Linked DNA regions of Ovis aries. The protein of the gene in region 4 purifies or fractionates together with the protein of the main gene of each other region. This does not show direct contact. Links are inferred from orthologs where the notes say so. Each region holds a gene or a part of one and is shown on either strand. Other genes may lie near its edges.

The links.
Region 1: the proteins of EZH2 (region 4) and NUMA1 purify together in Homo sapiens (affinity purification with mass spectrometry; 3 studies listed by BioGRID and IntAct, with this or other methods). This does not show direct contact. The link is inferred for Ovis aries from reciprocal best matches to the Homo sapiens genes EZH2 and NUMA1.
Region 2: the proteins of EZH2 (region 4) and CHD4 purify together in Homo sapiens (affinity purification with mass spectrometry; 5 studies listed by BioGRID, with this or other methods). This does not show direct contact. The link is inferred for Ovis aries from reciprocal best matches to the Homo sapiens genes EZH2 and CHD4.
Region 3: the proteins of EZH2 (region 4) and SMARCA4 purify together in Homo sapiens (affinity purification with mass spectrometry; 4 studies listed by BioGRID, with this or other methods). This does not show direct contact. The link is inferred for Ovis aries from reciprocal best matches to the Homo sapiens genes EZH2 and SMARCA4.
Region 5: the proteins of EZH2 (region 4) and FAM120A purify together in Homo sapiens (affinity purification with mass spectrometry, with the first as the bait; 3 studies listed by BioGRID). This does not show direct contact. The link is inferred for Ovis aries from reciprocal best matches to the Homo sapiens genes EZH2 and FAM120A.
Region 6: the proteins of EZH2 (region 4) and SMARCA5 purify together in Homo sapiens (affinity purification with mass spectrometry, with the first as the bait; 3 studies listed by BioGRID). This does not show direct contact. The link is inferred for Ovis aries from reciprocal best matches to the Homo sapiens genes EZH2 and SMARCA5.
Region 7: the proteins of EZH2 (region 4) and SIRT1 purify together in Homo sapiens (affinity purification with western blotting; 3 studies listed by BioGRID and IntAct, with this or other methods). This does not show direct contact. The link is inferred for Ovis aries from reciprocal best matches to the Homo sapiens genes EZH2 and SIRT1.

What each region holds. Positions count from the first base shown.
Region 1 is NC_056068.1:50,370,775-50,374,839, forward strand, and holds the end of NUMA1 (nuclear mitotic apparatus protein 1), read right to left. Parts: intron 3,570-4,065; coding exon 3,341-3,569; intron 2,755-3,340; coding exon 2,618-2,754; intron 2,269-2,617; coding exon 2,092-2,268; intron 1,940-2,091; coding exon 1,826-1,939; intron 1,722-1,825; coding exon 1,527-1,721; coding exon of another isoform or gene 1,515-1,526; exon of another isoform or gene 1,500-1,514; intron 1,211-1,499; coding exon 1,199-1,210; 3' UTR 501-1,198; downstream 1-500. UniProt on the Homo sapiens protein: Microtubule (MT)-binding protein that plays a role in the formation and maintenance of the spindle poles and the alignement and the segregation of chromosomes during mitotic cell division.
Region 2 is NC_056056.1:209,654,748-209,658,247, forward strand, and holds part of CHD4 (chromodomain-helicase-DNA-binding protein 4), read left to right. Parts: intron 1-1,523; coding exon 1,524-1,645; intron 1,646-1,841; coding exon 1,842-2,057; intron 2,058-2,245; coding exon 2,246-2,364; intron 2,365-2,483; coding exon 2,484-2,725; intron 2,726-3,500. UniProt on the Homo sapiens protein: ATP-dependent chromatin-remodeling factor that binds and distorts nucleosomal DNA. Acts as a component of the histone deacetylase NuRD complex which participates in the remodeling of chromatin.
Region 3 is NC_056058.1:13,255,570-13,259,638, reverse strand, and holds the start of SMARCA4 (transcription activator BRG1), read right to left. Parts: upstream 2,801-4,069; 5' UTR 2,512-2,800; exon of another isoform or gene 2,440-2,511; intron 2,370-2,439; exon of another isoform or gene 2,315-2,369; intron 1-2,314. UniProt on the Homo sapiens protein: ATPase involved in transcriptional activation and repression of select genes by chromatin remodeling (alteration of DNA-nucleosome topology).
Region 4 is NC_056057.1:113,168,873-113,172,372, forward strand, and holds part of EZH2 (histone-lysine N-methyltransferase EZH2), read right to left. Parts: intron 1,650-3,500; coding exon 1,558-1,649; intron 181-1,557; coding exon 1-180. UniProt on the Homo sapiens protein: Polycomb group (PcG) protein. Catalytic subunit of the PRC2/EED-EZH2 complex, which methylates 'Lys-9' (H3K9me) and 'Lys-27' (H3K27me) of histone H3, leading to transcriptional repression of the affected target gene.
Region 5 is NC_056055.1:28,019,594-28,023,093, forward strand, and holds part of FAM120A (constitutive coactivator of PPAR-gamma-like protein 1), read right to left. Parts: intron 1,892-3,500; coding exon 1,708-1,891; intron 1,124-1,707; coding exon 986-1,123; intron 1-985. UniProt on the Homo sapiens protein: Component of the oxidative stress-induced survival signaling. May regulate the activation of SRC family protein kinases. May act as a scaffolding protein enabling SRC family protein kinases to phosphorylate and activate PI3-kinase.
Region 6 is NC_056070.1:14,460,760-14,464,911, reverse strand, and holds the start of SMARCA5 (SWI/SNF-related matrix-associated actin-dependent regulator of chromatin subfamily A member 5), read left to right. Parts: upstream 1-1,352; 5' UTR 1,353-1,572; coding exon 1,573-1,749; intron 1,750-4,152. UniProt on the Homo sapiens protein: ATPase that possesses intrinsic ATP-dependent nucleosome-remodeling activity.
Region 7 is NC_056078.1:23,655,092-23,658,591, forward strand, and holds part of SIRT1 (NAD-dependent protein deacetylase sirtuin-1), read left to right. Parts: intron 1-643; coding exon 644-1,207; intron 1,208-3,500. UniProt on the Homo sapiens protein: NAD-dependent protein deacetylase that links transcriptional regulation directly to intracellular energetics and participates in the coordination of several separated cellular functions such as cell cycle, response to DNA damage, metabolism, apoptosis and autophagy.

The DNA.
Region 1 (4,065 bases), on a different chromosome or scaffold from region 4:
GTTCCAGCACAGAGTGCGGCTAGTGTGAGGAGCGAGTATGGAGTGAGAGAGGATGCCATTCTGAAGCCGAAGACAAAGCCAGGTTCAGGGACACAGGCCCTCGCATCACAGGATGCCGGCCCGCAATGGCGCCCCACTCCAGTACTCTTGCCTGGAACATCCCATGGATGGGGGAGCCTGGTGGGCTACAGTCCATGGGGGTCGCTAAGTCAGACACGACTGAGTGACTTCACTTTCACTTCTCACTTTCATGCATTGGAGAAGGAAATGGCAACCAGTGTTCTTGCCTAGAGAATCCCAGGGAGCCTGGTGGGCTGCCGTCTATGGGGTCGCACAGAGTCGGACACGACTGAAGCAACTTCGCTAACGCTCCTCAGGAGCAGAGGCCAGAAACAGTGGAAGATCTTGTGGCCCCAGAGAGGCTGGGAGGAGGGGTTTGAGAGAAGGTAGGTGGTCTGGAGTCTCCCTGCTTCCCCAACACAGACCAAGGCATCTTGGCATTCAAGGGAGAAAAATAGACTTTATTTACAAGTAATAACATTTAGAAAAGATCCATCTCTGGCCCTTAAAAACCTTCCCATCACTCCAAATCCCACCCCAGCGCAAATCTGGGGAGGGTGGGCAATGGGAGCTGCCACTGAGGGCTGCCCCCCACCCTCCAAGGTGCAGGGCCCTTCTCCTGGAAAAGAGCATCCTTTGGGCAACTGGGTCCTTGGGTGGATGGATGCACCTGGGGGTGGGGTGCTCCCACTAGGTCAGTGCCCAGTCCTGGACTTCAAGAGCAAGGGCCCTTGCGAGGCCCAGCGGCCAGGAGCAGCAGGGGCCAGGGCCTGCTCCTCCAATGGTCCCTTCTAGATCCAGAGGCTGGGAGGACTGGCTAGGCCCAAGGACCCAGCCACACAAAGCCAGCCTCAAATCTGGTTACGATGGAGAAGTGACTTTACTCTAGGAAAACATCAGGAGGCAAGGCAGGGAGAGGACCCAGACTGCCCAGGCTCTGGGCCACTCTGGAGGACACAGCTGTTCACCTGGGGATGGTCCGGGTCCCGGCCAGGGTGTGGGCAGGCATCACTGTCTCGAGGATTTGGGCCACTGTTGGCCTGGGAGCTGAGAGAAGGCACTGAAAGGGACAGAAGGAGAAGGGCCAGGCGAGGGCAGCATCGGGAACACGGCGGGGCCGCTCACTGGCACTGGCTCTTCAGTGCTTCGCCTGGGAGAGAGAGACAGCTGCTCAGCGCCAGCCTGCACCCACTCCCGCTCCCACATGCCTGGACTAGGGTGGTCTCCTTGCTGCAGCCCTGGACCCATCTACCGCAGGCTTGCAGGGGCTGGTTTCACCTGAGCAGCTCTGGGTGTTTTATCGTCTGCTTTCCTCGAGGAGGAGCAGCTAACCAGAGGGGAGAGGAGCACCTGCTCTCAGCCCTCGCCCTCCAGGGGCCTAATCAGAGCCCTGGGGTGGCTGGGTGGGGGTCACCCATGCTCCTTACTGGGTTTCTAGGAGCCGAACCCTCCCGTCAGTGCCGCACCTTGCCCTTTGCCCGGGGGGTGGCGGTGGCGCTGGCTGTGGTGGTGGCGATGCGCGGAGAGCGGCGGGTCCCGCTGCGGGGATTGGGTGAGGCTTTGGAGGGGGCTTTCTTTGAGGCTGCCTTCCGCAGAAGGCTGTTCCCAAGCTTCTTGGGCGTGTTGAGGATGCTGAAGGCCATCGACTGGCGGCGGTCAGCCTGTTGGAAAGGGCTGTCAGACCGGGGGCACCACTGGCCACACAGTTGCTCTAGGGCTCAGCTGGCTGGGCCCCTCCAGGTTCTCCCTTCAACCCCCGGCTAACCTGTTTAACAGCTGGAACGGCCTTCTTCTGGGCCTCGGTAGTGCTGTGTCTGCGCCCTTCATGTCGGTCCCGGGGGGTCATGGGGCGCGGGAAACATGTGGTGGCCTTCTTTGACTATGGGGAAGAGGACAGTTAGGTCCAGAACACGAGAGACAAATGGACCATGTCCAGCCAGCACCTGTCTCCCTCCTGCACCAGGAGACTCCCCGCTAATAGACTCGCAGACGTGGCGGCCGCTAGAGAAGACCAAAGTCCAAGCCACCCACCTCAGGTGTGCCGGGACCCTGGTGGGTCTCTGAGGAAACCCGCTTGCGCTGCTGCCGTGTGGTGATGCCGGCGCCCTCAGCTATCTGGGTTGGCTGCATGCTGGCTCGGCGCAGGGTCTCCCGGGGGTCGCCAGTTTTTATCTCCTCATCTGTGATGGCAGGCAGGCTCAGGGAAGGCTGTGTGGGGTAGAAGAAGTGGTCGGTGGACCTGACTGAGCTGTTTGGAGATGGAGCAGGACCGCCCTAGAACTCCTCACTGGCCAGGCATCTGGAGCCTTCCTATTGCAAACGGCTCCCCCGCTGTTGTCTTCCTGCCTACACCCTGCACCAGAGCCACAGGAGCCATCCCAAGAGACCTCTGCAAACTCCAGCCCTCCACAGAACCTCCTCCTGAGTTCCTCCCTGCCTGATAGTTGACCAGAAGCAGGTCCCCCTCCTTGGCAGGCTGGGAAACTGGGGAGGGAGGTCCAGGAGAAAGAGGGAAGTCGGCAGGGGTGGGTCCCTGGCAGGGAACCCGAGAGCTCACCCTGGACTCCAAGGGGTAGCAGGTCTTCAGGTGCGGTGGGCATACTCGGTTGCGCTGCTGCAGCTCTGCAATGCGGTTCCAGTCATCCAGCTGTTCAGGCTCGTCCTGGCAGGTGCCCACATAGAAGCTGTTCCTGCCTGTGCGGGGGCAGGGAGACAGCAACAAGCAGGGCTGCAAGGCCAGCACGAGAGGGTGGAGGCAGCACCCCACCGGCCTTGGTGCCACCACTCCTGTCCTCCTAGCCCTTGAACTCCAGGCTCCAGCACCCCAGGGTCCTGCTCTGCTCCATGCTGCAGCTACAGGCACGAGGCTCACAACCATCTCTTCCCTGGGGACTGGCTCCCTGCCTCCTCCCTGGGGTCCCATGCCGAGGTTGTGACACCAAAAGAAACTATTGGAGGGCCAGGAATCCATACCCAGAGCGCTCCCTGAAGGCAAGAGCCTCAGAAAGGAATCTGAGGATAGACCCCTGGCAGTCTGGCACCCCTGGCAGCCCCTCCCCACCTGAGAAGGGGCCTGGAGCACTCTTGTGCAGGGAATCACCCGCCCCTCATGAAGCCTTTGGCTGAGAATGACATCAGCCTTACTGCCTAGCACAGGCCCTGGGTGAACAACAGGTAGGGAGGAGAGGGGTGAGGTGCTAGATCACGGCTTGTGCTTTGGCTGTGTCAGGATCTGTCTCCAGTTTTATGTTTGGGTGTCAGGCCCCCACAGTCCCCTCACCTGGAGGGGCCCCACTGGACATCCCGGCCTGGGAACGGCGAGCAGAGCTGCGAGTGGTGGGCCGGTAGCCAGGCAGGCTGAGCAGAGTGGAGTTGCCGTCGTCGGGAGAGCCCAGGCGGGCTAGAGACTGGGTGGAGGAGGCAGCTCTCGGGCCTGCCTGGGAAGCTGGAGCTGACTGTGTGCTGTAGAAGGAGGCGTTGGCACTGTCTGGATCCTCCACGTCCAGCTTCTGGAAGAGAGGATGCACCTGCTGCAGCGGGGCTGGGCCCTGACATCCTGGGACATCCCTGGCGGCCCACCAGCTGAGACTGAACCCAATGCAGGGGTGTGTGATCCCTGGTCAGGGAACTAGATCCCACATGCTGCAACTAAGACCCCCCACCAAGCATATCAACATTTTTTTGAAAAAGCCTCCCATTTCCTTTCCCAGAGCGCCTCAGATCCCATGGCTGCCCGTGTCCACACTGCTTTGCATAGGGTCCTCAGCTGCCCATCTGCAAGAAATGGGCCTTGTTAATCCCACACAAGGTGCTGAGGGTGTCAGGACTCCCGTCCATTGTTCCGTTGAGTCTGTTCACAACGCTCTGAGGGAGGGTGGGCCAAAAGTCTCAGGCTGTCTTAGAAGTGAGGTACACGGGCGTCAAAGGACTGGCCTGAGGGTCACAGCAGGGGACAGAGCTGGAGCTGGACCCTGCTTCTCCTGAGAGCATCAGGCTTGTCCCACA
Region 2 (3,500 bases), on a different chromosome or scaffold from region 4:
GCGTTTTCGGGCCAGTTCTGGGGGCCAGGAGCTAAGAACCTGTGTCGGAGACTGTTGTCCACTATTCTAGGTGCTGCTCCCTTTTTTCTTAGCCGGTTGGATAGATGGCGGCCTGTAACCTTGTTAGAGGTGCTTTAGGATCTGTGGCCTGCACTCTGGGTAGAGGTGATGAGGAAGCTGAGTTTCAGAGACTTGCTGTGGGCTTCCATCCCGCAAGGAAGGCCAACCTTTTGGGTGTCAGAAGGTTGTGTACTCTGACACAGTACCGCCAAACTTTTGTTAAACCTTAGCTCTGATGATTGAAATCCTAATGATTGAGGGAGTAACTCAGGCCCTCATGTGGGGTCACCCTTCAGGGTGTCTTGGGTATCCTTGTCTAGGACATTAGAATGGCGTCTTGCGAACTGTGTCATCCCAGGGTAGTGTTAGGAGAGGTGGCGTTTGGACGTGGGGCCAGGTGATCATTTGGGAAATCTATGAGAGAGTAGTCTTTTCCCCTCCGGCTACCTCTCTCCACCCAACCCCCCTCCCCTGCTACTTCCTGTCTGTCCTCTGTTGGCAGCTGGGTGCCCTGGGCTGGCTTCTGTGGTCAGGAGCCATTTTCCCTCTCTTCAGTGGATGAGGCATTCCCTCCTCCTCCACTCCCTTCTCCACTCCCCCCTCCTTGGGCGGGGGTGGCTTGGGAAGGAGGGAGGAGGGAGCTGGTGCGCTGGTATGAAGGTCTGTTACAAAGGAAGCTGCCTCCTGGCCTTCTCCCCCACCCTTGGTGCCCCTTCCCACCTATGCCTGCCCTGGAGCTCTCAGCATTACCCCAGGCTTTGTGTGTGCTCCTAGCCGGCAGGAGGCGGAGCCAGATGGGAGGAGGAAGGGGGGGGAGATGGTGACAGCTGGGCTGATTTGGGCCCCTGGGGAGAAGAGGCTACTGACCCAGGAGAAGCTAGGAAGGAACAGTAGAGCTGGAGATGGGGAAGGGAAGTCCGATTTGGGGGTGGGCACGATACTAGGCTGGCAGCTGAACCTGGGGCTTAGAGTTTCTGGTGGTTTTGAGCAGTGATGAGCCAGAGGGGGTTAGTGAAGGATGTGGTTTCCGGGACCACTGAGCAGGTACTGTTCTGGGAATGTGCTGAGGGTGTTGTCTTTGGTTGTTGTTTTCTGGGTAGGATTTTTCATTCTCATTCATGGTTTCTGGAACATAGGAGGGCTGGACCTGTTTCTTTCCCTTGGTTAACTGTATGCAGCTTGATTCGGCTGTCCTGGTGAACGTATAGAGGACTTCTGCTCAGGGTCTGGGGAGCTGCCTGAGGTGGGCCCACTTTGGCCCTGCAGGCCTGTTTCAAGGATCTCCAGCTCTCTGTCTGTTTCTGTCCCGAGTATCAGCTTCCACTGGTGGCGTGTGTAGCAGCTCTCTCCAGTGGAATCTGGGACAAGAGGTGGGGGAATCAAGACTAAAGCCTCTGGATTAGGCGCTAACCTTTTGCTATTGATCTCTTCCCTGCATACCATTCTTTGCTAAATAAATGTAGAAAACGAAGAGGACCCAGAAGAGGACTTGTCAGAAGCAGAGACTCCAAAGCTCAAGAAGAAGAAAAAGCCTAAGAAACCTCGAGACCCTAAAATCCCTAAGAGCAAGCGCCAAAAAAAGGAGGTGAGTGGGTGACTGATGCCATGGGGAGTAGGAGGAAGGCAGGAGGAGCCCTGAGAAGGGCTGGAGGGCTGCGGCCTTCGCTCGCTGGCCCTGGAGTGGGTTGCCAGGTCCCAGGCATCGCCTCGGCGCTGTCCTGAGGCCAGCATGTGTGTAGCATGTGTGTGTCTGTCTCCCTCTCCCCCCTTCCCTGCTCCAGCGTTTGCTCTTATGCCGGCAGCTGGGGGACAGCTCTGGGGAGGGGCCCGAGTTTGTGGAGGAGGAGGAAGAGGTGGCCCTGCGCTCAGACAGCGAAGGCAGCGACTACACCCCTGGTAAGAAGAAGAAGAAGAAGCTGGGCCCTAAGAAGGAGAAGAAGAGTAAATCCAAGCGGAAAGAGGAGGAGGAGGAGGACGAGGACGACGACGACTCGAAGGTGCCTGCGTTTCCACCTTCTTCTCTGTTCTTTGCTTCCCAGACACTCTGCTGCCCCTGAGATTGAGTTCTCTCCTCCTGTTTCTAATGATTTGCTCTTACCCTCAACTTGCCAGCCTTAGTTGTGGCTCACATCCTCTGGTGAGTGTGGGCACTCGGAGTCAAGCCTTGACCCTGCTCTCTCTACAGGAGCCTAAGTCATCCGCTCAGCTCTTGGAAGACTGGGGCATGGAAGACATTGACCATGTGTTCTCTGAGGAGGATTATCGCACCCTCACCAACTACAAGGCCTTCAGCCAGTTTGTTCGGTAAACAGGAGGGTCTTGGGGATGGCATGGAGTGCACTTCCATTATCTCTTGTTGCTTCCATCGCCATCTTTTATTTTTAAACTTTTCCTCTTTTCTGTTCCTGCTGTTTCTCCCCCAGACCCCTCATTGCTGCCAAAAACCCCAAGATTGCCGTCTCCAAGATGATGATGGTTTTGGGTGCGAAGTGGCGGGAGTTCAGCACCAACAACCCCTTCAAAGGCAGTTCTGGGGCTTCTGTGGCAGCGGCTGCAGCGGCGGCAGTGGCTGTGGTTGAGAGCATGGTGACGGCCACTGAAGTGGCACCGCCTCCACCCCCTGTGGAGGTGCCTATCCGCAAGGCCAAGACCAAAGAGGGCAAAGGTGAAAATGGGACCCAGTGGAAGTGGGGGCTAGTGTGGTTGGCAGACGTGTGGATGTGCTGTTCTGTCAGCCCAAAGATAGAAGCCAGGAGGGAGGAATGAATCTTGGGTTAGGAGGGAAATTTGGGAAGCTCAGTGTAGAAATGTTTTAGGTGGGGCGTATTTTGTTGGCTTGGCCAAAAAGTTCCTTCGATTGTTTTCCATATGATGGCTCTAGTCTCGTTTAGTTGTCCTTTTTTTTTTTCATTTGAAACAGTTTTATTAGGTCGTATTGTGATGGTTGTCATATCAGTGTGCATTTAAAAAAAAAACTACCAAAATTGGATTTTTGTGTAGTCATTTTAGTATTGAAGACAAAAGAAGAAAGGCAACATTTTGGCATATTACGCTTTATTATTTCAAGAAACATGAAAAAGCAACTGAAATGCAAAAAAAGATTTGTGCAGTATGGGGAGAAGGTGGTGTGACTGATCGAATGTGTCAAAAGTCATATGCAAAGGTTTGGGCTGGAGGTTTCTCGCTGGACTATGCTCCATGGTTGGGTAGACCAATTGAAGTTGATAGTGATCAAATCAAGACATTAATTGAGAACAGTCAACACAGTAATGTGAAACAGAAGAGATCGTGAGGCAAGTGAAATGAACCACCACCAACTACATCAAAGACTGGTCTCCATCCTAACAAAGGTGATGTTGTGTTTGTGGTGGGATTGGAAAGGAGTCCTTTATTAGCTCCATCAGGGTAAGGCAAGATTGCATGTTTCTTTGATGACAAGG
Region 3 (4,069 bases), on a different chromosome or scaffold from region 4:
TGTTTTAAAAAAATAAATACGTGTTTATGTTGGAGTGCTTTTCACTGACAGGAAGTCTGGAACCACTGCACTGCCCTGCACCAAAGCTATGATGAGGTCACCCCACGATGAACACCCCCCCAAAAAACACCTGCAAAATCAACATCTCCTGAAGGGCTGGCGTGTGCGCTCAATCACGTCCGACTCTGTGACCCCATGGACTATAGCCCACCAGGCTCCTCTGTCAATGGGATTCTCCAAGCAAGAACACTGGAGTGGGCTGCCAAGCCCTCCTCCAGGTCCCGAATCCATGTCTCCTAGGTCTCTTGCATTGGCAGGGGGATTCTTTACCACTGCGCCACCTGGGAAGCCCCCTGAAGGGTTGGGCACAAATGATTTCAAGTGGCATGAGGAGGAACACTTATTATTTTCATAATCGTATATGTATTGAGTTTAAAGAAAATTAGGAAAATGTATATAACCAGCACATCAAACCTGGGGTTTCTGGGATACAGAATGACTCATGTTTTCAGTTTTCTGAACAGTTAATTTACAAATACATACGTATGAACAAAACCACCTCCGAAAAATTGAGAGCTCATTACATGCCAGACTCTAGAGAGTGTTAAACCACTTCCCATACTATCTTTCCAACCCTCACAACAATTCTTTGAGCTGGCACCACTGTCTTATCTGTTTCTCAAGTTGGGGGACCTACTGGTAAGTGTCCTGCTTGAGGTCAAACTAGAATTTAGAGCTGACTGTGAATCCAGGAGGTCTAATTCCAGAACTAGCACTCCATAACACCACCTCCTATTAACTACTACCCCACACCCTTACTGTTGAGGGAATGAGGTTTGGGGAAAATGGCCTGGAAAGCTTTAGAAAAAAATTAAAAAAGAAAGCAAAACACAGCGCCAGCAACTAATATTTATTGTCTGCAACTCGCCCTCAAGTCCTGGGCCAAGCACTTCACACACAGGGCTACTCAATCCTCAAGAGTACCCTCCTCCTTCATCCACAAATGTTCCCTAAGGGCCTACTACACACTGGGCCAGGGTACACTAAAAGAGATTACACAGACAGCTCTGATGGCCCTTGGAGAAGAGATGTGTAATTACAAACAGGAGTAACTCCTAACACAAGAAAGGATCAAGATGACCATGTGCAAAAGCAGCAGAGGGGAGCAATGACTGGTCCCAAGTGGTCCAACACAACCTGGGGGTCCTCCCTAACCCTGAGTAAAAGCCCCCTCTTCCATGCAGCTACCTGATCTCTGGTTCCCACCACTGGCACCAATCTGCTGTGCTCCTCACACATGACAGGCCTCTAGTTGTTCCCACACTTACCACCTGTTCCCCTACAAGACTGAACAGGCTGCTCTGGGCACCCAACCTCCAACTACCAAACACCCAGCTGGGGCTCAACAAGTATGTGTTGAACAAGAATGGAAGAGACTGGACTGAACAACAACGATAGTGCTTCCCTCTTGACAGGAACCATTTTACAGGCTTTCACCGGCTCCATCTGTGCCATTATTCTCATTTCACATATGAGGACACTGAGAAGTTCCAAAAGATTAAGCTATTTGCCTCCTGTCACACAGCGAAGTGACCAGCAACAGCCAGGAGTCAAACTTGAATCAGGCCTGTCATTTAAAAGTGAAAACTTGTTTCAAATTCTTAGGAAGTGGCTCTCACTGCTTATTCCCTACTTTCCCCAATGATTCACTAGGGGGGGAAAATATCAAGACTAGTGTCTTCAAGACCTTCACAAAATACCTTCTCCTGAAAGATTCGCGTTTTAAATAAAAACCTTAATCTGGAAAATCGATTGGCAGAAAGGGGTAAGGACGCAAAACTAAAACAATGCTTTTAACGGCAAACAGTTCTCTCCGTCCTTCCCCACTGCTGCCGACCCCCGGCTTCAGGGCAAACGTTCTCAAGTCACTACTTGCAAGGGGTTAGCAGAGTTATTTACCTTTCCTTGAAAATCTAAAACGACGTGACTTTTAAAAAAATAACCATTCAGGTCGGCTAACCCAGGGGGGCTGCTAATGTTCGTGTCCGGGCGACGCTGGACACACCTGGGGTTTTTCCTACTGAGCTCCGACTGCAGGCTCGCCAAAAGGCAACATTCGAGTCGGACCCGTTAGAACGTAACCAGAAAAGCCCGGACGTCTGGCTATTGTTGCAGCCCCGGCGGACACCGGGATGTGGGCCCCTGGACCGCCGACGGGGCAACGCGCTTTGTCCAGCGACCCCGGCGAGAGCGCGCGCGGGGGGCGCGCGGCCTCCACGCGGCCCTGGCCCCCACCCCGCCGTCCCGCGGATACTGTAGTCGCCGAGGCCTCGCTGCCTGTGGCCTTCCCCGCGCGCGCGGTGCCGGTCAGGCTTCTTGACCCTCGGGCGCCGCCGTACCCCGGCCCGGCTCCGGGCGCCGGCGGCCCCCTCCCCCCTCGGCGCCCCGGCTCCATTCAAACCGTCCTCCCAAGCCCCGCGCCGCGCTCCCCCCGCGACCCACGTTCCTTACCGGGAGTCGCCGGCGCCGTCGCCTTCCCGGCGCCGCCCCCGCCCCTCCACGCGGGGCCGGGGGCAGAATGGGCTTCTCGCTTCTCCTCACGAAACAAAGAAGCAGCCGCCGCAGCCGCCGAGCGAGGGTAAGCCTCGCGCGCGCGCCCGCCTGCCTCAGCCGCCCCCCCACGCTGCCCGCGCCCCCGCTGCGCGCGCACTCGCCACCTCCCCTCCCCCCACCACGAACTCCCACTCGCTTCCGCTGCTGGCCCGTCCTCGTGCGCGTGCCCGCCCGCCCTTCCGCTCCTAGGGCGCGTGCGCGTCTCGCCGGGGTTGTCTGGGAGAGGTGGGTGGGGCCAGAGAGAGCTAGAGCGCCCGACGCGCCTCCCGACTCTGTGTGGGACGGTCATGCGCCTGCGCGCGGTGGTCTCCGTTCCCGCACGCCGCGCGTCTCAAAGCCGCCGAGCATGCGCAGAGCAGGCGGCACTGCGGCGGTGGTGGAGGTGGAGGTGGCAGCGGGAGGTTGGGGGATGGGGTGGGTGGTGGAGAGGTCTGCGGGGAAAGCGTGGCCGAGGGCCCCTGAGACTCAGAAGTGAGGCTTCCAAGGTCGTGCATGAAGGCAGGAGGCGGACAGGCTGGGGCCGGGGATGAGCAGAGCCGGCCCCTGGGCCAAGTGCAGGTCGATGTTCGGATGATGGCGGTGCCCGTTCGGCAAAGCCTGTTACGCAAAGACCGTGGCTATCTTTTCCGCACAACTTACCTAGGGCTATTAGTTTAGCAGATAATCTATTGACCTGCCCCACACTGAGGTACTGTAGTACCGAAGAGAAATCTCAGCCTCTGTGGCGCTCATGGTTTAGTGGGAGAGGCAGGCGCGAGGCAAGAAAACTTAAGTAAAATACACTGTGTTGAAATGGACACGTGAAGGGTCGGGGAAGTTTTAAATGGGGCAGCTAGGGAAAGCCTCTCTGCGAAGACATTTGAGTCAAGACATAAAAGCAGTGAGAGAGAGAGAGCTTTGTTCCAAGTGTGAAGGCCCAGAGACTAGGAGGCTTCATCTCTTAAATTTTGAGAGTATCTCTTGAGTCTGTATTCGTTGTTTCTAGCCCCACAACTGGACAAACGGTTCCCAGGGCCAAGTCCTGGAGCCTGTGACTCCCTACCCCTGCTTCTCTCAGGCCTTCCCCCTCATTTTTCAGGTCTCAGCTGACTCATCACCTCCCCTGGCCTTGCCCCCTCTTTGATCACCACCTCCTTTTCTTTCACATTTCTTGGGTAACCCCTTTAGTATCTGTCTCCCTAACCTCAATTTAAGTGGCGCAGTGTTGTCAATTTTAGTCCCTAGTGAAGAATACCCAATATCTAGTGTGGGGCCACCCTCTGCAACACACTAGACACCTTAAAAATATTCTTTTTTAATTGAAAATATATTAGCTTCTATGGAGTGTGTATCACCAGCACTTTGGGCCTTTCCAAGCCCAAGGTGAGGCCCTTAGAGCATAAAGCAGCAGCTAATATCTTGGCCTGAAGCCAAAAAGACCTGCGTTGAAAACCTGACTCTCCTTAGTACCTGGGGG
Region 4 (3,500 bases):
AGTCTCAGCCCCCGCCTCCCGGTCACTGTCCGTGTCCTTCGACTCCAGCACATTGATGGTGGGGGTGCTGGGCCTGCTGCTGTTGTTGGGAAGCCGGCCTCTCCGGCGGCCCCCGGGGCGCTTCGGGGGGGTCTTGATCCGCTCGGCGGTGAGGGCCGCAGCGAACTCCTTCGCTCCCTCCTACAACAGCAAGAGCGGAGACATCAAAGTCAAGTTCTACAGCTCATTCTGGCAGAGGAGGAAGGAAAGGATTGGGTAAGCATGTTAGTCAGACTTATCAGTATCTGCTTTTCACAGGCAGTCACATCTAAAGACAATCATCTTCCTATCTGCTTTCCATGGTTTGAAGATTTGAGAAAGATAAATATGGCTTCTACAAACTCAGGCAAGACAGTTCTGTATTAACTGAGATTAGGAGTTAAAATACAGAATATATTTTAGGAAACACAGTCTATTTAAAAGTGAACTTTAAGAGGAGCCATACACCCAGTGTGCATCTAAAGTCAGCCTTTCCTGTCTCGGGACTTCGTAAGCTAACACTCGTTCATCTATGGTAGCATTGGAAGTATACAAGAAGAATACAAGACATACACGTGCTCCATCCGTCCCTTTTCTGCCCCCTTTCCCCTGTGAGGGATGCACAGCCCCAGGAAGACATGAAAGGCCCTTGAGGGACAGGCAGTGAGGGTCACAGTCTGCGCTGCCAGGCGCAATAACCCCATCTCGGAAAGTATACAACAACGGTAAGAGCACGGATTATAGAGACCACAGACACACTTTAGGTGAGCCAAATAAAATGCTGCCTTGTAAAGAATATTATACAACAGTGCTCAAGAATTCCATTTTTAGTGGCAATAGAAGGGAGAAGTTTGAGAGCAGCCAACAGTTTTATACTTCATTCTACAAAAACCAAATTGCTTAAAAATAGGATACCTTCTGTAGGTGCCATTCAATGAATCTTCTGTCCAAAATCCAACAGGCAATATATACCCACTTAGTTCCTAGGTAGGAGTGGCTTGGTTCAAAGAGGGGAAATGGTAAAAATAAGATAGTACCCATAAAAAGCAACTTTTCTACCTCATATTTTCCTACACCCTTACCTTCTCTCCATCATTACAAAAAAAAAAAAAAAAAAAAACACACCACACACACCCCTCATCTCTGGGAGCTACATATAATGCGCTAAACTACAGCAGGTCTGCACAGAAGGGCGATGGCTCTGAGCAAGGCTCGGACACTTCTGTGCTGCTGGGGTTTGGGCGGGCTCTCTGTGCTTCCCAAGCTCTAAGGTTGGCGGAAGGCACGAGAGTCTCGGATCCTAAAGACCTGCATCCACTGCTGAAGAGACTAACGCTGGTAGAGAATAGCGCAAGGTAACAAAGGACTAGGGTGTGCAGCAGGTACGAGCTCCCAAGAAACGTGGCTGAGAAAAACCTCTGCCTATCGTGTGGCCAGTAACAGTACGGGAACAGCAGCTTACCGCTGACTTCACAGATCTCACGAAAATTCAAAATTCAGACTTCTCCACTCCCTCCAGAACCCCCCGCATGTGCTTACCAAGTGCTGGTAACAGTGGGGGCCACAAGGCTTATTGTCGAGGGCCGTCTCTGTGTTCTTCCGCTTGTAAGTGTTGGGTGTTGCATGAAAAGCTGCAAAATAAACAGAAAACATCCAAACATAAAGTAAACTAGTTACTTTCTCATTCCTCCTGTTCCAAAGGAAAAAGTCAAGGACCCATCATCACACTCCTGCTAACATGTGGCTCACCTTCTGGAGCTTCCTTCAGGCTCACTGCACACTCACCATGTATCCCCTCAGCTCTCCCCCAGAACACCTGAGCTCTGATCATAAACATTTACTTGAGTCTTTAATGTCTCCATAGAAACAACTGATGTATCCTCTACACAGAAATCAGTTTCCTCTTTTCACCAGAAGAATCCTGACATCTACAACTTATTGATTTCTAAAGAAGTCAGCCCCTAGCTTGTCAAATGGGGGAACAGACTGGGACACCGCTTGTTAAAAACCTGGGTTCAAAGACAGTGAGGACAGCCTCGGAATTCTACAAGTCAGTTTCTACGAATCACACACAATTCAAGAACCCAGGGGGAGCCTGCAGTCAGCACTTCTGCAGGGAAAAATAGTAGTCAGATAAAACGGCTTTGGCAAGATATAGTGTTTGAAACTTAAGACGCCCAAATAACGTACCAGAGAGACTCACACTCCAGCACACTGGTGCCCTAACCAAGGATGGAAGCACAGCAGCTGGGCGGGACAGCCTGGGGTGCTGGCTTCCAGAGCACACAGGCAAACACCAGAAACGCCCCACCCAGAATCACACACGATGAGAAGTTATATGGATGAAAACAAGCGACGGATTCATGAAATAAATCACTCCAAAACATATATGTAAAAAGCCATCCTTCTAGCCATAGAACTTAAACGGGAAATGACAGGCTGATGAGGAGAGAAGAGAAAGGACGAACAAAGTTATGCTTTTAAACTGGAAATTCAAGGCTCCGGTCCCAGGTCCCAGAACAAGACTGACACCATATGACTGATTTCACCCTGGACTGGCGCGGGTGAGGGCCCCTAAAATGTCAACATAAAGGCTGAGCACATGGAAGGTAGAGGCCACATAAGGGGAAGGAGTTACTTCAGGCCAGACACAAGGTCATCATGAGCCAAAGGCACATGCGGGCTTTGAGCCTGGATGCCTCCTCCAGTACATGGTAGGTTTAGAGACTGATATTTTGCCGCAGTTCATGGAAGAAGACATATGTGGGTCTGTACACCCTCATGTACACACACTCTGGTCTCGAGAGAGAAGGTGTCACTAAGTCAGGACTAAGTGACAGTAGATGGAGTTGCAAAAGAGCTGGACACGACTTGGCAACTAGACAACAAAAAGTTACAGCAACAGTCATTTTACTTGAGCTACGGGAAGAGAATCTGAAAGGAAATTAAAGAACAAAAGGAGAGTTATCGGACAGTTAGATAGAACCCTTTCTTTAAAATGTGAGTTTTACCTTAGGTAATATAAATTTAATGCGATTCCAATAAACATACCTAGACTCTTTTTAATTTAGACAAACTGATTCTAAAATTTACATAGAAAAACGAAAATGGCCAGGAGACCTTGAGATGGCCAGGAGCCCCCAGACAGACAGCCTCAAGGAACAGGACCCTGGGATCAGAAGCAGAGCCCAGCCTCTGTGCTGACCAGGACCAAGTGCAGCTCCGGGCAGCCCCAGAGGGGCCTGCGGACAATGGTGGGGAAACAGCAGCCCTGGAGATGCGAGGGTGAGCTGGAGCTAAAGTCCTGACAGAGCAAACGCCAAATGGATCAAAGGGAGAAATGTTTAAAAAAAAATGTTTAAAACGTACTAAGGAAAAAGGTGAGACACCCTTTAAAATCTTGGAGTAGGGAGAGCCAAATGATACATTTAACTATTTCTAAATGTTTTGTTTTTTAACTTTGCTACAGGATTTTTACCAAA
Region 5 (3,500 bases), on a different chromosome or scaffold from region 4:
GAGTTTCCAGGCAAGGGTTGCAAAAAGCTGAAGCTGATTGTAAAGCAGAGAACACACATTACTGTGCACTGTGTGATGCACAGTAACATGAGGAAAGCACCCTGGAAAGCCAGGAAAACTAAGGGGAGGCAAGAGCAGGCATGCAAGTCCAGCAGAAGAAAAGTGGCTTCCACAGCTACAGAGAGAGGGCAGCGTTCAGCCAGAAGAGTATTACTATTACAAAAGATGTCTCTAGTAGCTTCTGTAAGAACCCAAGTAACTCAACTGGAAAAATATTTCTGATCAAGAAAGGCTTGCCTATCCTAAAAGTTCTTCAAAACTGTATTTGAGTAATCCTATAACACAGACTTGACAGTCAGGTTTAGATATGCAGTCCCAAAATGAGGCATTTATGACAAAGTTACAAGTCATGGGCTTCAAAGTACAGCAAAATCACAAGATAATATTTCAAAACTCAGGGTTAAGACTTTTTCTCACCCTCACAAGCCTAATATGAATAAGAAGAGAAGCAATGGAAATTTAAACCAGACTATTAGACTTTCCTTTACTAATATTTCTCTGAAACAAACTATGAAAAACTCTTTTATGCCAAGAACTGTACAATGCCCTTAGATTCTTCTACACAAGCATGATCCTCTTTACCTAGAGAGGGCTGTTAGAGAACACGAAGGCAAAAAAAACGTCCCCAGGAATGAATGGGCAACCTGTCTATCATAGGAGGCAATGATTAGGAGGCAGGTGCACAGAAGGGCTGTGTGTGGACACAGTGGTCCCGCTGGAAGACAGAGATGGGTCAGAGCAAAGCTGCCGCAGAGACCTGGGGGAAGGCAGAGGCTGGCAGATGAGCAGCAGCAAATACCAGAGTGGGGGGCCTATCAGAAAGGACTTGGTGCTGGAGTCAGGACAGACAAGGAGGAAGAAGAGCCAGAAGGAGCGGGAAGCTGCTGGTGGAAAAAAGCTCCAGGAGGAGTTGTGGCATAATTACCGCCCTGTGACTTGCTAGTCCTGCTGCTGTCACTGCCTGAGAAGGCTCCACAGTGTCCTGTTGCTGTCGCCACTCGGAAGGCACGGTAAGCGCCTGTCGCTACAGTTTCCCCATAGGGGCTTCCAAAGCCACAGACTCCTGTGGGACCCGGGTGGAGAGAGATGGGAGAAGCCATGAGGAACTGGGTTCAGGGAAAGCCACCAGTGGGCTTTCAGGCAGAGAGACCCCCATATCCTTCAGTTGTTCTTACACCATCAGCTGCCAGGGAAGAGCCTCCTGACCCTTCTGCTCACCAGCAACACAGAAATGTCACCTTGCCTGCTCTTGGAGGAGACTCTGGAGACCAAACACTATTGCTATGGGCTCTGCCACAGGCTTGGGAGGCAGCCTTAATGGAGGACAGCCCCGCTGACCCCACAACATGAGAAAATCTAAAACCACAAATGTCAGCAGAGTTTTTGGCTACACTGACCAATTTAAATATCATATCTCTGCAATAGCTTCTATAGCTCCCACTCCCTTTCCCATAACGTAATCTCTTCCAGGATCAAGTTCCTTTCTAATGTGAAGAGCTGTTGCTGCAAACTTCGTAACTAAGGCTGAGAATTATTTACAAGGTCTCAACATAGCAGGATACAGCTCACTGAGAAGGCCTGCATGTTATGTGTGTGTCTGTCTCCCCACACTAGCAAGTCTGTACCTACAGTGGTGGACACACTCACCTGCAAAGCCCCGCCCTCGGCCCTGGGCCGGGGGGACGGGCCCGAAGTGCCGTGGGTACACAGAGGTGGGGTAGAAAGGCAGCGCCGCTGGCGGTGGGAAGGGGAGTGGGTGGCTCTGCCGGGAGAAGTTCAGCCCTTCCAGGATGCTTTGTCGCATCTTTTCTACCTTGGCAGCTTGCTCGGCCTGGAAGTCAAGGACTGGCATGTGAAAACTTCATTCACAAATTCAATTCAATTGAATTGGAATGAACAGGAAAGAAATAAGACATGCTGACCACTATGCTTTGCCTACATGTGTGTTAACCGCTTAGTCATGTCCTACTCTTTGTGACCTCATGGACGGTAGCCTGCCAGGCTCCTCTGTCCGTGCTTATTTACCCATAAATAACACAGCCACAATCTGCTCAGTGATACTTTTTTACAGAATGAAATGTTGCTGCTGTTGTTGTAGTATAGTCGTAAGTCCTGTCTGACTCTGCGACCCCATGGACTATGGCCCACCAGGCTTCTCTGTGCATGGGATTTTCCAGGCAAGAGTAACTGGAGTGGCTTGCCATTTCCTTCTCCAGAGGATCTTCCTGACCCAGAGACCGAACCTGTATCTCCTATGTCTCCTGCATTGTCAGGCAGATTCTTTACCACTGAGCCAGCAGGGAAGGCCACAGAATGCAAACATGATCACAAAAGCAAAAAAAAAGCCAAAAGAAAGAAAAAAAAGATACTTTATCTCACAATCTTATAAAACAAGAATTTAAATTTCTACCTACTCAGTATATCTTTAGATGAGAACCACTTACTATAAAATTTATTAACTGAAAACAAATTTGTTTCTCAAAATCAATGACTAAGTCCAGACAAGTCATGCTCACAGCCTTCCTTCCACTCATGCACCAGGGAGTAGATGATGCCTAGTTCACATCTTTAAATTTTACTTTCCTAATCAATTTAATTTTAGGTCAAACATTCACTTTACAGAAAAAGAACTGAGGCAAAGAGTAGTAGATGCTTCTTAAGGAATGCCTGGAGCTCTTTAATAGAGAAAGGACAATAGACCAATTGACCTGTCCATGGGGCTACCAGTGAGGTAGCCTGCACAAATGTGAACAATACAACTTGTGTATGTCACATCATACTGTGAAAAAACACTGAGTGTCTTTTGTTAATAAATACATAAATATGTATGTGCTAAGTCGCTATACCAGGAACCAATCTTTAATCAGAGAACCTGAAATCCTGCTTACTCTGTAAATTTGTCTTTAAACTGACCTTAACTTAAGCAGCATGTGGAAGAATACATGTTTTGTAGTCTAAGGTTAAAAAGCAAAAAGCTTGCAGCATATGTGAGCTTCTTTTATATACAAAGGGACAAGATAACCTCATGACCTAATTCACTTTATTTTTAAATTAGAACTTTAAAAAGTACAGTCAATCCTGACTATTCATGAGTTCCACATCTCTAAACTCAGCCACTTGCTAAAATTTATTCATAAACTCAAAATCAATACTCCTAGCATTTTCATAGTCATCTGAAGACATTCGCTGAGTGGAACAGAGCTTGAGTTGCCACCTAAGGTTAAAGAAAGCACAGCACTGTCTTCATGCTTCAGTTTTTATACTGTAAACATGTGTCCAGTCACTGTCTCCTTAGTGCCACAATTTCTGTGTTTTTGTGAATGATTTTGCTGTTAGAATAGCACAGTGCTGAGTATTGGCTAGTGCTTCCAAGTGCCAGGCTGTGATGTGCCGTACAGAGAAAATGCGTGTGTTAGTTAAATGAGCTTTGTTGAAGCTGA
Region 6 (4,152 bases), on a different chromosome or scaffold from region 4:
TGTATTTTTCTGTTCATATATCCTTAGATGGTTCCTTATAGTCTCACAAACAGTATTTCTAATGGGCTGGGGGGCATTTTTCCAGATCTCAACTTAAAAATTATCATTTGATCAGTTAAAAGTTTGCAGGCTACAGATTCAAAGGAGAGCTCTTCTATTTGAAATTCAACATAATCAACAGTTTGCTCAAATCTTAACTCTTGAAAAGTGTGTCTCCGCTATTCAATACATACTGATAGAATACTGGATATGGGGATACAAAGATGGATAAGAGCCTGTGCAGGGCAGATAACAATTCACAGCAGTACGATTTTCTATTGAGTAGAACACGATGTTCTTGATAACCTGCAGCAGATCCGTGCGCAAGACCCACAGGCTATGTTGAGGACAGTGGAAGGCGTAACCACTGGAAATTATTCGAAGTATTTCTTAAGGAGAAAGAAATGCACAGCAGTCTGTACATTTTAATATTTAGTGGTTGAGCAAAAGATACAGCCCATGGCCTCTCTTATCTACCGATTATCTATGACTCTTATCTATGACTCTCATTCACATGGTGATGGGCAGTTTGCTTATGTTTAGCACGTAAATTCAGAGAAAATATCGTTTAACTCTGTAAGAGAAGTAGAAGGAATTTAGAAATGATTCTTATAGCTAACGTGTAGACAAAAAAATATTACACCAACGGGCCCTTTTGTTTAGACAACAAAACCTAAGAGACGTCAACTGGGATAACTAAACCATCTTCAACACATTGGCGTCACACCTATGAGCGGCGGCAGCGAAAGTGTTAAGGCCTGCACAGGCCTCTATACTGCAGTAGGCGGCGCAAAACCTGGGCAAGTTTTCTGGGAGTGCCGCAGATCCCTGCCAAGCAGAGCAGACCAGGCGCCGGTGGACCCTGAGCCGTTAAGAACGCCTGGAAGACAGCGCTCGCGTCATGCCGGGAAGCCGACGGACAAACCTACGTCTCCAATCTCTCCCTCGAGGCCCCGCCCATTCCTTACCCAAGAGCTCTCTGGGGCCTCGAAGGAGGCGTGGCCCAGGGCAAAGAGGGGAGAATGCGCATGCGCACTCGGAGCCCAGTCATGTAGCCAACTATCAATCTCGCGAGTGTTGATAGTCGGTGGCGTAGGTAGTAGAACTGAGTGCTGGCGAGATAGATGATATCTACCAGAGGAAGAAGAGGAGGCAGCTAAGCCAGTTCCCAGTCTCTGTCCCTCCTTTGCTTTCCTTTCTTTTTCCCTCAACCCTCCGCCCTCCTGTGAATCAGCCCGCCTTCCCTGACCTCAGTGACCCGAGTGGCCCCGCCCACTCTCGTCGACGTGATTCCCGCCGTGGGGTAAAGCGCCGGTCGAACCCGGAGCCCCGCGGAAGAGGAGGGCGACCAGAGGGGGAGGTTGCTGGGCCTGGTTTGGGCTCGTCGCCGAGCCGCGGCGCAGGGGGCTTTCGGGTAGTCCTCTCGCTTCTCCATCTGCTCGTTGCGACGCAGCCACCCAGGCCTAGGCCTCCTCCTCCTCCTCCCTGCCGGACCCGGCCTCTGGCAGCAGCGGGTGACGCAGACGGAACATCATGTCGTCCGCGGCCGACCCTCCGCCACCCCCGCCTCCCGAGAGCGCGCCTTCCAAGCCCGCAGCCTCGGCCGCCGGCAGCGGGAGCAACAGCAGCAACAAAGGCGGCCCCGAGGGCGTCGCAGCCCAGGCGGCTCCCTCCGTGGCCAGCGCCGGCCCCGCGGACTCGGAGATGGAGGTGAGGGCGGCTCGTGGTGTGGAAAGAGGGCAGGATGGGGAGGAGGAACTGGTTCCCTCGCCTCTGTACTAGTGATGAGACGCAGAGCCAAACTTCACCCCTTCGCACTCCAACACGGCCTCAGACCGTTTGGGTCGGAAATGATGCTCTCACCCTTGCGCGTAAGCAATCCAGGCAACCTCAAGTGGATTTCTGGCACTTCACGTTTATATTATTTGTCTCTTTGGCGAACCTTGCCAAATCCTCGAACGCTCTTATTAGACACATGTTCTTGATTACTGAGGCCGAGTGAAGATCTACCCTTTTTTTTTTTTTTTTTAAGCTGGACTCCCATAATTCCCTCGCTCATCTCTGAATCTCGATTTTACTTTCCGCTAAACTTGGGGAGAGGGCGAGGGAAATTTCCCTCTAGGTACGGGGGTAGACAGGCGGGGTGGGGAAGGCATTTAAAAGCAGCGCATCCGAGGGCTTGGGCCTCCTTTTCTTCATCCCGTTCTTTGCGGGGGCGGTATCTGTTTCGCAGAAACAATGGCGAGGGCTGGATGGCCGAGGGCGCAGTGGGGATAAGCGGGGCACAGCTGCTCCCTCGGAGGGAGAGGAGGCTCCTCCCAGGCACTGTTCCGTGGGGAAGGGAAGCGACCACGGCGGCAGCAGCTGTCTTGAACCCCCATTTCATTTTGTGGGGGGAGTGATGGATGGATGGATGAATGAATTAGTGAGTGAGGGGCGGTTAGTTTGCTTACAGACCAGCGCATTTCCTCTTTGGGGGCCTTGGCCTTATTTTGAAAATTGGTACCGTTCTCTATGGCTCCCTACCTTCTGGGCTGGGGCTGGTGGGTCAGGGAATGGTAACAGTACTGCGAGGGTGGAGAGATTGGGGAACTGCCAGGCGGGTCTTTTGGGTGTGCTCCAAGGTTTTGCGATGTCTGGGAACAAAGTGTTGCTTGCTCCTTCCAATTTTATTCTTGGCCTTCGATCTGTTTTGAGATATTTTATAGTCGCAACCCAGAGATTTCTGGAATTTTTCCATCCTTGGATAGATTGAGCAAAGGTAATACTGCTCTGAAAGGGAATGTTGCTGCAGAATTAACACGATAAGGAAATGGCAGGGCAGTTTACCATAGAGCATTTGGCTCAGTAGTTTTATTTGGGTGCTGTACTAGGTCATAAGTCAGTTCAGTGGAGTCCTACTCTGTGTAACTAGCGGCCTTATCTAGGGTGAGGTAACGTGTTATTAGTTTTTGAAAGAACTTTAAAGGTAAGGGTGGGTTTTGGTGGAATAGGACCTCTGGTATTCTATAGCTTTCAGCGACTTGAAATTTGTTTTCAGTTCATGTCAGTGTTGCTTGTTTTCTTTTTCTTTAGGTTTTAAATGATTGTTTTGAATTGCTAGGGTTAACTTGGATTCCCGCTTCCTTGTTTAAGGGGCTTTGAAAGTTTGACACTGAAAGCAGTTGTGTTAAATACGCAGTTCTCAGGGCTTCCCAGGTGGCGCTAGCGGTAAAGAACCCGCCTGCCAGTGCAAGAGACAAAAGAGACGCGGGTTCGATCCCTGGGTTGGGAAGATCCCCTGGAGGGGAGGCATGGCAACCCACTCCAGTGTTCTTGCCTGAAGAATCCCATGGACGGAAGAGCCTGGCGCGCTACAAAGAGCCTGGCGAGGTGGCAGAGTCAGACAAAGCTGAAGCGACTGAGCACGAACCGCGCTTCTTTGCAAATTGCTGTCCACTGTTGTCAGCCTCTCAAAAGAGGCTATCATTCGAATTTTGGAGTAGCAGCCAAAGTCTCAGTCTCACTAGAAGTGTTAAGGAAATATCAGAAAGCGGAATAATTTAAAGCCTAAACTAAATGTTTTGCCTTTCAGTTGCTGTTTTTAAGGTGAAGTGGAATTAGAGTTTAACTATGAACAGTAATGTTGTAACAAGTACCAGCTGACTGTCAGTAGTATTTTTGCCAGATGGGGAAATTGAGTCTTCTTGTAAGTAGAATCTGTGATAGAACCCACATCTGGCTCTGAAGCTGACCCTTCCCCGAATATCTTTCCCTGTCATATTTTTACCAAAAATGTGTTGTTTAACAATTTCATTTATTGAAAAATGGCTTCATTATTTTTCCTTTTCTCAGGATAGTAACATCAGTGATTTTATCTTTTACCAGTCTTTTCACTGACTAGTTTTTGTTTTTTTCCTTCATATTATAGTATGGTTTTTTGTTTGTTTGTTTTTAAGCTGCATTTTTCCAAAATCATTTATTTTCTGACAAAGCCCACTTTCCTAGGAACATTAGTTAGCTTTCCTATGTATTAGGTTATTTCTTTTTTTTTTTTGCTTGGTATTGGTAGGTCATGGGAGCAGTCACATTTTTTAATTAGTATGATCTTTTTGGCAACCTGAATGGGGCCTG
Region 7 (3,500 bases), on a different chromosome or scaffold from region 4:
GAAACTATTCAAGAAGATTATAGGATAATTTGTAACTAAAAAGAAAATGTCTAAGCTTAGTTTTTTTCTGTTTAAACATAGAGCAGAGAACTTCTGACAAGCTTTCTGTGGGGTAGTATAACATGTTGGTGATATTAGGCAAAAGTGGAGAGTAGACTGGTATATACTTTATATCAGAAGCCATTTAAGTAGAGAAAACTCTCACCTACTAAGAGCCAAGAACTTTGCATATTAAGTCACTTACTCCTCACTGCAATCTTGTGGAGCAGTAGTCACCCTATTATACAGACAGGGATACAGGGAAACTGAACACAGAATGTAGACGTTTGAGGCAAGAGGTAATCAAGTGCTAGAAGAAATTTTGATGCTCATCTATTGACTTAATAGTGTGATGGTATATAATAGCTCGATTAGAGTGGCGTCTTCTTTTGGTATTGGGAAGCATTAGGTTTCTTCTGGCTTGCAGGGACTTGTTTCCCTGACCAAGGATAGGACCCTGGCCATGGCAGTGAAAGCAGAGGGTCCTAACCACGGAACTGGCCAGGAAGTTCCGTTACGAGTTTACATACTGTGTTTGTTTTGGTTTTATAAGTGCACCTCCCTTCTTTTCTCTTAATTCTTATTTTTTTCACCCTAATCTTAGGTTCCATACCCCATGAAGTGCCTCAGATATTGATTAATAGGGAACCTTTGCCTCATCTGCATTTTGATGTAGAGCTTCTTGGAGACTGTGACGTAATTATTAATGAACTGTGTCATAGGTTAGGTGGCGAATATGCCAAACTTTGCTGTAACCCTGTGAAGCTTTCAGAAATTACTGAAAAACCTCCTCGAATACAAAAAGAGTTGGCACATTTGTCAGAATTGCCACCCACACCCCTCAATATTTCAGAAGGCTCAAGTTCACCAGAAAGAACTTCACCACCAGATTCTTCAGTGATTGTCGCTCTTTTAGACCAAGAAACAAAGAGTAATGTCGATGATGCTGATGTGTCTGAATCAAAAGACCATGGCACAGAAAAGGCACAGCAGGTGCAGACTTCTGCTAGAAGCATTGGGAGTGCTGACGAACAGTTGGAGAGTCCAGATTTGCAGAATGCTGTCTCCGATTCTGGGGAGAAAAATGAAAGAACTTCAGTTGCTGAAACAGTGAGAAAATGCTGGCCAGCTAGACTTGCAAAGGAGCAGATTAGTAAACGCCTTGATGGTAAGAAAGGCTGTTGGGCCATTTTGAGGGTATAACTATTATTTTTTTTGTAAATTTATGTAATTGGAGGCTAATTACTGTCCAGTATTGTAGTGTTTTTTGCCATACATTCACATGAATCAGCTGTGGATGTTCATGTGTTCCGTATCCTGAACCCCCCTCCCACCTCCCTCCCCATCCCATCCCTCAGGGTTGTCCCAGTGCACCAGCCCTGAGCACCCTGCCTCGTGCACTGAACCTGGGCTGGCGATCTGTTTCACATATGGTAATATACATGCTTCAGTGCTGTTCTCTCACATCATCCAACCCTCGCTTTCTCCCACCGAGTCCAAAAGTCTGTTCTTTACAGGAATCTCTTTTGTGGTCTCGCATATAGGGTCATTGTTCCCATCTTTCTAAATTCCATACATATGCATTATATTGTATTGGTGTTTTTCTGACTTACTTCACTCTGTACAATACGCTTCAGTTTCAAAGGAATATTTGCAGGAAGTGAGCAATTTTGGCAAGCTAGTTAGTGTTAACTTCATGCAGGTAAATTTTAATAGTTGATTGTGTTTAGAGAAACTAAATTTGAGATTTTAAGCTAGAAAAAGATAAACAGTATCTTCAATAATACGGGGAAGAAATGGTGTCTTAACTGTGCCCTGTACCTTGAGTTTCTCTAGGGAGTGAGAAGTTAAGCATTTAGCTGGGACTACTGAGTGCTCCCCTGTTCTCTGCTAAGAGTTTTAGATGGTGAAAATGACAAGATTTGGGTGCTTACGGAGGGGCAGTGACTTGACATATTTTCTGTTTCAGTATCTGATTTCAGTTAGGGACGAGACTATTCCTTCTCAGGTACAGGTGGGAAAACAAGGACCACAGAGATTAAATGTCCTGTCCAAGGAAACAACTGGAGTGAAGAAGAGCCAGGTAGATTCCAGGTTCTGTTAACCTGTTGCTGTTTCAGATCTAGGAAACATCTGGTTCTTCTCCACTGACTATCAGAAATAGCATCTGCTCTGTTTTGACTCATGAAAAGTCCTTACCAATTTGTATTAATATGGATGAAATCACTTTCTACCTTTTAAGACCATTGTGCACAAGTATTAACCTATGGTGAAAAACCTTAAGACAGAAAATTGTGCTCTTAGATGCAGCAATCTTGTCCTGCTTAAAACACTCTTCACTCACCATACATTGTGAAAACTGGCAAGAAATTTCAGACAAATGTATTGTGTGTTCTAATCATTTGCCATAAATAAATTTTAGTTCAGTTGAATAAGCCTTTGGGTATTTCCAAACTAGGACTGCAGCAAGTTCGGGAAACACCCATCCAAGCAACTGATATTTGTGTATAATTACAAAAATGGGTGAATGGGGGAAAAAAAAAGGTGAGAATTTTAAAAGGTAGATGATACTTAGTGGGCACTAGGTTATAGAAGGCTTAACTGTAAGTTGGTGAAGTCTTCCACGGGGAAAACCAGAAAAAGCATAGAATACTTACGCTTATCAATGTGGCAAAAGTCAGAAGTAGAAAAATTGCTGTTGATTTAGTCAGGTAAGTCTCTGTTGTATACAGTCTGCTCGTGTGTTCGTCCTTTGTGTCTTGACTGGTTTTTTGACCCCATGGACTATAGCCTGCCAGGCCCCTCTGCCCATTGTATTCTCCAGGCAGGAATACTGGAGTGAGTTGCCATTTCCTTCTCCAAAGTCTGCTTCGGCACTCACAATATTCTTTGGCTCTTTGACAGATGGGTCAAATGTATAAAACTCTGCCCCAGAAAATTGGTATACCTTGGTTTTATTCTGCTAATTTAGACCTTTAAAGATACAGGCTTCAGAATTTGACTGCATTGTCATATCTACCTCTCATAGCATTGTGAGCATTTGAAAAGATAACTGATGAATGTAAAACTTAACACTTTTAACTGCTTAAACCAAACAACTGATGTTTACTCATTTTCGTTTGCGACCATTTGTAGTGAGGTCAGGGCTGAAAAGGAGGAAGTTGGAACATATAAGAAGTAAAATGTGAATATCGTAAAGGTAAGATTGCCAGTAGGACAGAAACAGGTACAGGGTACTTGAACTGAGAAATAGATTGTTCAGTTCTTCAGGGGGCCAGGGCAGAATGAACTGTTTTTTAATAAACCTGTAAAAGGGCAGGACAGCCATGTGCTGGGACCCCTTAGAAGACTGGCTCCTAGGATGTGATTTAGAGGAGATGGTCCTGTTAAAAATCACAAGATGTGGTGGTCTGCCAGCAGCTAGAATGCAGGTACTCAACTCCCTTCTCCAATCACTGACA